2 linked regions of the Neodiprion lecontei genome follow. The protein of the gene in region 1 interacts with the protein of each later gene in a pairwise test. Links are inferred from orthologs where the notes say so. Each region holds a gene or a part of one and is shown in the gene's direction. Other genes may lie near its edges.

Region 1 (4,857 bases):
ATGTAATCGGAAATAACTTTTACTGGGTCACCGCCGTCTAACTCATTGCCAAATCCAGTAAGCTGAGTGATTTCTAAAGTTGCAAAGTATGCAGGGTACTCGTACTTTTCCTTGCTGTTTCTGGGAAGTCCCCCACTACCCCGGATTTTTTATCGCGGCATGTTTACGAGATAACGTGTTTCACGGCTCCTACCGATAAAGAAGCTACCGGATCGTTGACAAAATTTTTTATAGCTCCAAGCCGTTGCCTGAAGAATCAGTCATGTCCAAGCTCACTTTATCTGCCGAGTACTGGGGATTGATTCTGTACAGCCCCCTGACACTCACCACTCGTATACCAAAAAATTGTACGCGTTTTGCCCCCGTTTTTTAGTTCCTCTACGTGGCGCTTGTGGACTTCTGACACGCTCGCTGCCCTCGCTGACCGCGCGCAAGCAAGTCAGGCGACTATTAGCGCCACTAGTGGTGGAAATTGGCGGCAGAATCGAGGGACATTTTGCGAACCACTATTAGCAGCGTGTGTCAGGGGGCTGATTCTGTAGTTACACTTTTAACATTTCCCACCATCCAAGCATTCTGATTGGTTGACTAAACTTTTCGAATCAATCAGAATTTTGGATGGTGGGAAATTTGAAAAGAGAATTTACAAAAGCGATTCCTTGGTGACGATCTGAATACCGTTGACTGAGGATATATATATGTATATATATACCCGGGGTCCCTGAATTACCCTGGATACTCCGTCTCTCCCACTCTGCATTCATTAGCTGAGAGACGGGCCACAGTTTTTGCGAGGTTGACGGCATGGGCATCTATCGCCAGTAGTATACCTATGATTTGAAGCTGATACCAATACGAATTCGAATCTGCAGCTCCTCGAACATCTGATACGTAACAAGTCAGTGCCGTTTTTCCCAGGTTCATTGGAAACGAATGACGAAATTGGTAATTAATTAGAAAGAAATCGAGATGCAATCAGAAATAATCGTCACTTGGACCCAAATCATATTTATTTTGTTTCGGATACAATTTCGAATTCACCGCTAGTCGACATAACCCACAAATTAGATGTTCTGGTTCAATCGAGTTGTGTTCGCTTATTTTTTTAGACTCCATCAATCGATGCATCCATTATTTTTAGCGTTAGTGGCCATCGCTGTTTTCCATCGACGCAGAGTTTGTAAACATCTTCCATATGTTTGGAATCTGAGTCTCCTAGGACCGAACTGCTTGCAGCGTATAGTAATAACAAGCTCCGCATCAACTGCGGGTGAGGTTGAAGAATACCAATTTGTAGGGTTATTTTTATTACTTCGTAAAGTGGTACTGCGTGTTGATTGTGCAAACGATGCGCAAGCAATTCACATCGTAATTTGCAGAGTGTTTTCAAAGCTACACGCCTAAGATGATATTTAATAGTGGCTTGCTGAAATTCAGTACCCCATTTTCAATCTCGACTTATAGCAAAGCGAGTAAACTCGTAAATAATTTATCACGATATTCTTTCAATTCGAGCCACACGCAAAAGTTCTAACGTAATTTCCGACGATTTAGTTCGACACGGGCGTCAACGTTACGAACCTGGCCGATTAATCTTTAGAAGCGTCGTATTATAATTGAAACGCAGATTTGAATGGCGAACCGCGCATGCTGCCGCGCTAGTGGAAACTAGAGTCCCTAGGGAAATCTGCTGGGAACGTCGTATAGCGACATCTGCGTCGTACGTGCGAAAGCTAAGCAAATGCCAACTGCAACTGGCAGCGACGTGTGGCGGAGAATCAGAACACCGGAATAGGGATGTTGATCAGTTCTTCGTGTGGCCATCTAGAAGGCAGTGGCGTTCATTTTTTTAACATTTTCATTGGTGCGGTCGGTATAACAAACGTGGGAATAGTATAGTTGCAAGTCAAAAATCCAGTGCCGAGCCATCATGGCGAACCCTCGGAAATTCAGTGAAAAGATAGCTCTTTTGAATCAGAAACAGGCGGAGGAAACTGCCGCGTTCGAGGCAATCATGCGAGAGGTTTCCGACGTCACGAGCAGAGTAAGAGATTTCTTTTATTTTCACTCGGACACGTCTGCCGTGTATCCTCTAACCCGGACATTAAAACGTAAACAACGAACCTCTTACACCTCCTCTCTAGTATTGGTTGGTGCGTGTTATATGCAGCGAGCGCGCCGTAGCTACATGATATCTATAGACGTATCGTATTCGTACATACTTTTCACTCATGTTCACGCACAGTCCGAACCGCCTCACACCATTTCGCAACGAATGTAGCCAATGTTCGATGATTGTTGCTTCGATTTTTTTTCCGCGCCTCATTGTCAAGAGGTTCCAATAGTTGTTTCATTGTCACGATAGGAAATAAAGAATAAGAAAAGAATCAGACAAATACCAACCGTTGCCGTCGAATCTTCGTTATTACACGGCCATCCGTCGCCTGTCTGTCTCCACGTTACTTTCCTATATTATTATTGTAACTATTATTATTTTGTTTTTCATTCTCTGTTTACATCAGTTTTCTTTTCCACACCTTTTTCACGCGACGATTACGTCTGCTTCTGCGAGAGCTCGCGCCCAGCTCCCATGTGTATGTTTTTGCTCCTTTATCTCTCCTTCTTTTTCTCTCTCTTTCTCTCTCTCTCTCTCTCTCTCTCCCCACTTCTTCCGGTTACATGTATCTTGCTATGGGTATGTTTCACGGTTCGGACTCGACCCCATCGCCAACCACCGTCGGCGCCTGAAACGAGAATGTACCTCCTACGTTGCATCCGAAAAACGTTCGTTCGATCTTCCCACTTGTGACAATTGACAATCGGCGGTAAACGTAATGTGACATCTGCCGCGTGATTGCGTGTCTCTCTCATTTTCGCTTCGTTCGAGGCCTCTGCAAATGCGACGCATCGTACACGCGTATACATACGTAAAGACGCACGTATAGCATCACACGAGTAGGAGACGTACTTACCAACACACGCGTCCGCTTCTCCCTCCGTTTACCAACGAATGCATGCGTACACACCTATACATGTAGATCAGCGCACAATACAACACACGTGTTCACACAGTGCACGCGACAGGTTTGTGCATTAGCAGCGTGTACGTATTTGTGTGCAGGCAGCAGACAGATATGTATATATACGGTAGATACATATCGTACCTCATAATCCGATAAACACTCCGAGAGGCACATTTCATTATTTACACAAATGTCAAAATAGTACTCCGGCAATGCCGCATAACTTGACCCAACACGTTCGCAACAAACGTCTGTGGACATTATTTATTGCGATTTCGCATTGCATCTATAATAGTACTACTCTATTATGTAAGCTTTATTTAATGATGTTTATTCGTTGCGATTAGTGCTTTTTTTTCTTAAACCTTTTTCACACAATCTTTTATTATGTTATATATGCTGTCAAAAGATCTTGCTCATATCAATTTATATTATTCTTTAATTGGTTTGATTTCGTTGTTTGTTTCGTTTTGATTTTTTCAAGTTTTATTTTATTTTGTTTTTATCGGTCTCTGTCTCTCTCGCTCGCTCTCTTTCTCTTCCTCTTCCTCTTCCGTCACCTTAAATCGTGCTGTCGTGTCGAGGCCCGTGTATTTATACATTGCTTATATATATATATATCTGTATGTATACACTATCAGTATAGATTTATTTATTGTATCTACTTTTATGTTTACGTCAGGATTCTTCAGCTTTTTATTCTATTGAATAATATGTCGTTATTGGTCGGTGATACGATGTTTATTTTTCATTTTACACAACGTCGTTGCGTTGAAATTCCTCCCCCCTCCGCCCCAACCCATAAAAAAAAATCGTACGGACATAAAATTGTTATTATATTAATGATGTTACCATTGCGTGATTGTCTGCGAAATATGCGTAACGAAGATAGATTTCCGTCAAGAATTGTCGTCTGTAAACAAACAAAAATTTCATCGCTGAATATGAGAGACAGCTACGTATGAGAAATGAAATGAAATGAGATAATTTAAAAACCGCAATAATTTATTGTATTATGCATGAATTATACGGGTATACTCCATGGGAATGCGTAGGCATGTGGATTCATCACGAATTAAGACGTTCAATCACTTTTCGCGAAGACAATAGATTATACATTTCCGTTCGTAACTCGTAAGCAACCCAGTTGTGGGAACATCTGTATCATACGTTGGGTTTTTTTTTTTTTTTTTTTCGTTTTACCGTCACAAACTGTAATGTGTGTTAAAAAATTTTGGCACAGACATCTATTAGATGAAGTAATTTTTAGTCAATTACTCAACTGTTCGTGGTATGGGGGAAAATTATTCAAGTTTATGAATACATATACGTGTACATGAAAATACAACGTAATGTATAGCCGTATAGAATATTATAATTATACATTGAGAAAAAACGTTTGCTAGACTTGCGGCAATAATCATTTTTTATTTATTTGCTTGGTAATGATAAATCTGACACTTTTACAACTATCACAAGTATTGTTTGACTTGGTGAAATCGCTTTTTCTCGTAGCTACAAAATTACGAATTATTTAGTTGAATTAAGAACGTTTTCTATGATTCGCAAAAATAGATTTCAACGGGTTGACAACAGAATATTTTACAGGGAAAAAATTATGAATTTTATCGAAGAGTTAGAAATTGATTTCAAGCAATTGACACTCGTCAAAGCCAAGTGTATATATTCTGTGAGTTGAACGACGTTCATTAACACAACCACTTACAAATATCGAGATGCAGTCTTTTGGATAATTTTGCCGTGGGTCAGAATTTTCGAAAAAGTCGATAGTCCGGCAGACTAAGACTTCATTTCGATATTGTAAGTGGTTGTG
Region 2 (5,129 bases), on another chromosome or scaffold:
CAAAACTGTGATTAGATTGAAATTATAATATCGTAAAGGATGTAAGGATATAAAAAATAATTAATAAAGGAGTTTGTTAACTATTGTATAAAATTGTTTATTATCTTCGCTATGCGGTTTTTAATCAGATAACGTTGTATTAATTACCACATGAATGAATCACAATCGCTAGCGTATATTTTATTAAGAGAGTAATGATCATTTGCTACATCAGATCATTACATTTACGATCGAATTCGGGATTCGCGTTATTACCATGCTTTGTAATAAGCGTACTTATATCAAAATGTCTACGATTTTACGTAACGTTTCGGTATCAATAAATGCGATAAGAAAATGAATATGCTCGTTTGACTCGTTGTATTACGTCATCGCTTCTCCACTCTCCTTTTAAGCGAAATTAAATAAATTCCTAGCAAATATGATCACAGCACGCGAATTGAATAATACGTTTACGTATGGAATTTTATTCTTATAAAGTAAAGTTTAAAAATGATATTCAAAAATTGAACAATATTTGTTAGCGATATATTTTTATATATAATTTTCCGTATTTTTTTTCGAATATGCAGCGATTTATTCATAACATAGTAATGTAGGTTTACTTATCAACGAATTATTTTTTTCTATTCATTGGTTTGGACTTGTGTTACGAGAAAATAATAAAACGCTCGATCGCGCATATTTCGTTACACCTTTGAATGTGAACAACGACCAGGCATATCCGCATCAGACGGCATGAGTCACTTTCCGATGACGTCATTGCGTCCTACAGACCACTTGCAGAGTTACGTTTGTGGCATTCGAGACCCATTTTAATAGTGTGTACAGTAGTTATTTAAAACATATTTAGCAGTAATATAATTATTTTATACAAAAACAATTTTTCGATTAATTGAAATTTTCGCAACCCGACTGCATTAATTACGGCAACGCGGCCAATCAACGGATCTGAATAATATTGTAAACAAAGACAAATGTGTTTAAAAATATACACAAGTATATAAGATATAATATTGATCAGAACCGCTTGAAATATTTATTTATTTTGTTCATTATAAAGACAATCAACAGTAAATTCCTCAATTATTATAATTACAATTGAACTCATAGTGTGGAACACTCGCAAGCGAGATTGTGCGGAGTGGCTGCCCGCGCATTTATTTATAATGGATATTCGAGTGGAAATTTCCACCAATTTGTTATCGCAGGAAAATGATTTGGGATATTTATAAGAAAGGCATTATCGTCGTAGCGAGGAAACAAGCAAAATATGTATATTGTACACACGGACAGGATTCACACGTGAATGCGCGCGTGCGTGCGTACACGTGTCCGTAAAATGCGTGAGCCTCGCGAGCTGTGATCACGGTCATATGAAAGTAATACAAGTGTAGAATGACGTCATTGGATGACGTCAGCGCAACCCTACCACGATTTGTAAGTTATATGCGAAGACGAGGGCGAGGGTGACGAGGGTCACTGCGCGTAGACAAACACGTATACTTACCCATGTGCTAAGAATCGCGTTTAAAGAGCATACAATTAACAAGAAATCATAGAAATTACTGAAAACGCTTTGATCGGTGGGTAGCACCGAGACTGATTAATGTCTGTAAATTTTACGAGCGCTCATCCGCGTTCTTTAGTAAACTGACCTATGAAAGTACTTTGCGATTTCTTTGATATTTCGGTAGACGCCGTCCATATTTATGACATAATAATTGACTCATTGGATGTATATTTCTCGGTTGCGAATTCTCATCGAGTATTTTCGATTTGTTGGCTCTTGAAAACGCACATTTAAAACAATAACACTAAGACGACGGTATTGAGCAATAGCGTGGTGATTGTGCTAATTTGGACTCCCGCGTTACCGTTCGCCGAAGAAAAGTAGTTCTGCCAAGCTTGGTTATCAACGGATAATTATGAAATTGTATGATCTGGGTTTTTTTTTTTAAGGACATAAATTACTAATAATATCTTCGATTCTACTGCTCGAAGACGGTTGTTCGTTAACGAGCACATAATTCCGTAATTAATAAAGAAGAAAAGTGATCAAGCGGTTCGGCATTCACCATTCGCCATTACGCGCGCGGAGTTATACAGGCGCCATTTTGATCGTGACGCGAAGTTCACTCGTCGTGAGCTCCACCAGTGACGAAGCCACTGGAGTTTTGACGTGGCTGCTACGTACTTGCCCGTTTGCCCACTCCGATTGCAGCAAAGTTGGTGACGAGGAATACGTAACTGGTAAGTACTCAGCTGGAGAATAATAACAACCGAGCATGGACCACCGTTATTGCGATAGACCCGAAATGCTCATTGGATGTTAGCATTTTATTTTACAGCCTTAAATAAGGGATAGTTGAGTGTCTACAGTGTATAAAGGTACAAAATATGGCGTCTCGAGATACATGTTTGTATATGTAATTCTTTAAAACCATACCCGCTACTACGCGATACACGTCGTTATACTCGACCGTTAGAAAACGATCCTTTTGCTGTGTGTTACGATTTTATATTACTCTTGTCACATCTCACGCGATTGTTTACTCATTGCTTCGTCGCGGATGAAGAATGATGAAAAAGAAACATTCTCAATAAACATCATTTTATATTCTTCATTTATTTATTTTTAGCCCTCTTTGATGTAAATGACGCAGTAGCATTGGAGGAATTTTACGCGGCGGGAAAAAGGCACACGTTTCAAAACTTCACTTTAAATGGCAGCTTCATTTAAAAAATATGTGCAAATTACACTTGCACAAATGTCATTTACACTGTTGATTGTTGTCGTCAAATGATGAAGGACTTTCTTTTTCAGTCTTTTAATCATTATACTATAATTTAAGCTTTTACTAATAGTTTACATTACCCTGTTTTAACAAGAACAAGAATATATCATTCAACACAAATAATCTGGTTTTACCAAGTTACACATGTCAATATTTTCTGCCAAACATCAGTGACGATAGTGTGCTGCTTATCTAAGTGGATGCGGTTTTTAAGTTTTGTTATACATCCGCCCGTGTTGATATATTCAAGATTCCAAGATCGAAAGTAGTAAGACAATTATATTATATTTTCACAGCTTTTCCTTTTGTTTTCGTGTTTCTTTTTCTTTTCTTTTTTTTTTTTATTTTACATCAACTACATGTATATTGAAGCTTATGATTGATTTCGTCGAATGTAATGTAAGAAAAATATTTGTTTTGTGTGACGTCCAGCCTTATATATTTCTATGTCACAATTGATCGAAACTAATAAGCGTAAATTGAATTTCAGGGCTAGCGGTCCCCAGGCTATGGAAAGTATGGTTGAAGAAAACGGATCTACCGTTGACCCGTTGTCGCAGGGATCTCAGAGTGGAGATGCTGCACCTGCGATAGCAACATCGGTACAATCTTTGAGTAGATCCCAGCACCATCTGGTGGCTTCGACCAGCATTGTGCAACTGACGCTTCCTTTATCAGGGACAACGCAGGTATACAGGACACGCTCCTGTGTATCCATGCCTGATTGATTAATTTATCAAAACCAAATTCCTTCTTTTTTTCTCTGCGGTTACTTATTTGTTATCTTCATACTCTCAAGGCATGTTTACCGCGATACCTAATTCGTTATTTACTCTGCTTCGTTATTTTATAATTACACGTTCATATATTTTCACTGTACTTCACGAGTAGTAGGTATTAGATACATTACTTCATAATTTTGCATAATGCTGGTTCGTTTTGGCCCTTGATGTTTGTACACTATTTGTTACTACTTTTTTATAAATCTTTAATTTTATTCAGGTTGAAGAAAGGAATGTAAGCGTATGATTCATCTCTTTAGTACACGATGAAAATAATATTCTCTTATTTATTTTGCAATTCTCACTTTCATTGTTATATCAATATTTGATGTTTATACCTTCAACAACGATTCATGTTAACGTAACATGTGTTTCAATGCATAATAAATTGTATTGCTAATATCTCAATTCAATCGACTTTTGATTTTCTCAGTAATCATAGTTTGAACTTTAGTTTTACTCAATGTATGTTTTACTACTGTTACGCAGTGCAACGATGTAAATCTCCAGCAAACTGATTATCTTATCACATCACCTCAAAGGGTGATCCGCACACCTGACATAGATCACTTTTGAGCGACCACCTGCGTCGTTCAAGTTTGAAAGTTAGCCGAAATAATTTACAGTAATGGCATTTCGAAATATACCATCGAAATATCTACGTGGCATGTTTCTTTTTCTAATTCTATTCAGTACATCAGTTGTATTTCGAAATGCCGGTGAGATACAAAAAATTCACTCGAAAATATCCTCCTTAAAAAAGTATATCGCCCATACACAGTTTTTCCAATGTATTATAAAACTTGTGTCTCTCGCTTGTTTCGTTTACTTATACATTGCCAAATGTATTTATCGAAAAGTACAAAATTAGTTGATGAATCTAATAGTTCTCTTTTCTCACTGTACAGGTTTTATTGTGATAGATTATTTTCGTTGAATTGCTCGCCTGTAATCAATTAATGTCTTGAGCTACTACCTCATTGATGATACTTCTGGTGACATTTATTTCTTTATCGCCATTTGCAGGTACAATCGGTGATACAGCCAAACCAGCAGTCCGTTATTCAGACTGCTACAAACATCCAGCCGGTTGCTCTTTCCAAGGCAAACGTCATTCTCGTCAGTAAGCCCAATTCAGTCATACAAACGACGCAAGGCAGCCTACAAACTTTACAGGTATGTCAGCATTTGTAACATATGATCTTCACTTATTCTATAAACGAGTAATAATTTTTTCCCAATCAATTGAATCATCGAGTATTGTTTTCTCATACCTGTTATCACTCATTCAAGGTTGTCGAAACTGGAAGTGATGACAGCTTTTCGGACGAGGAATCCCCAAAAAAGAGGAGGGATATTCTAACCAGAAGACCATCTTACAGAAAAATCCTCAACGATTTAGGCGGAGGTGAGATTGCAGGTAAATATACCTTGCTGGATTTATTTTCGTTCCAAAATAAAGATATAAATAGGGAAAGTCCATTAGTTGTATTCATATCAAGAGCACAGTTGTTTAAAGTGCAATGTATTTTATCCTTTTTATCGATAT

Evidence for each region.
Region 2: the proteins of CREB-regulated transcription coactivator 1 (region 1) and cyclic AMP-responsive element-binding protein 1 interact in binary tests that used the Homo sapiens proteins (3 or more experiments, as listed by UniProt). The link is inferred for Neodiprion lecontei from reciprocal best matches to the Homo sapiens genes CRTC1 and CREB1.

The regions. Positions count from the first base shown.
Region 1 is NC_060266.1:17,461,807-17,466,663, forward strand, and holds the start of CREB-regulated transcription coactivator 1, read left to right. Parts: upstream 1-1,798; 5' UTR 1,799-1,930; coding exon 1,931-2,044; exon of another isoform or gene 2,045-2,467; intron 2,468-2,537; exon of another isoform or gene 2,538-2,891; intron 2,892-2,972; exon of another isoform or gene 2,973-3,112; intron 3,113-4,857. UniProt on the Homo sapiens protein: Transcriptional coactivator for CREB1 which activates transcription through both consensus and variant cAMP response element (CRE) sites.
Region 2 is NC_060264.1:3,829,874-3,835,002, reverse strand, and holds the start of cyclic AMP-responsive element-binding protein 1, read left to right. Parts: upstream 1-1,977; 5' UTR 1,978-2,253; intron 2,254-2,336; exon of another isoform or gene 2,337-2,351; 5' UTR 2,352-2,391; intron 2,392-2,777; exon of another isoform or gene 2,778-3,066; intron 3,067-3,288; 5' UTR 3,289-3,307; coding exon 3,308-3,487; intron 3,488-4,606; coding exon 4,607-4,756; intron 4,757-4,873; coding exon 4,874-5,000; intron 5,001-5,129.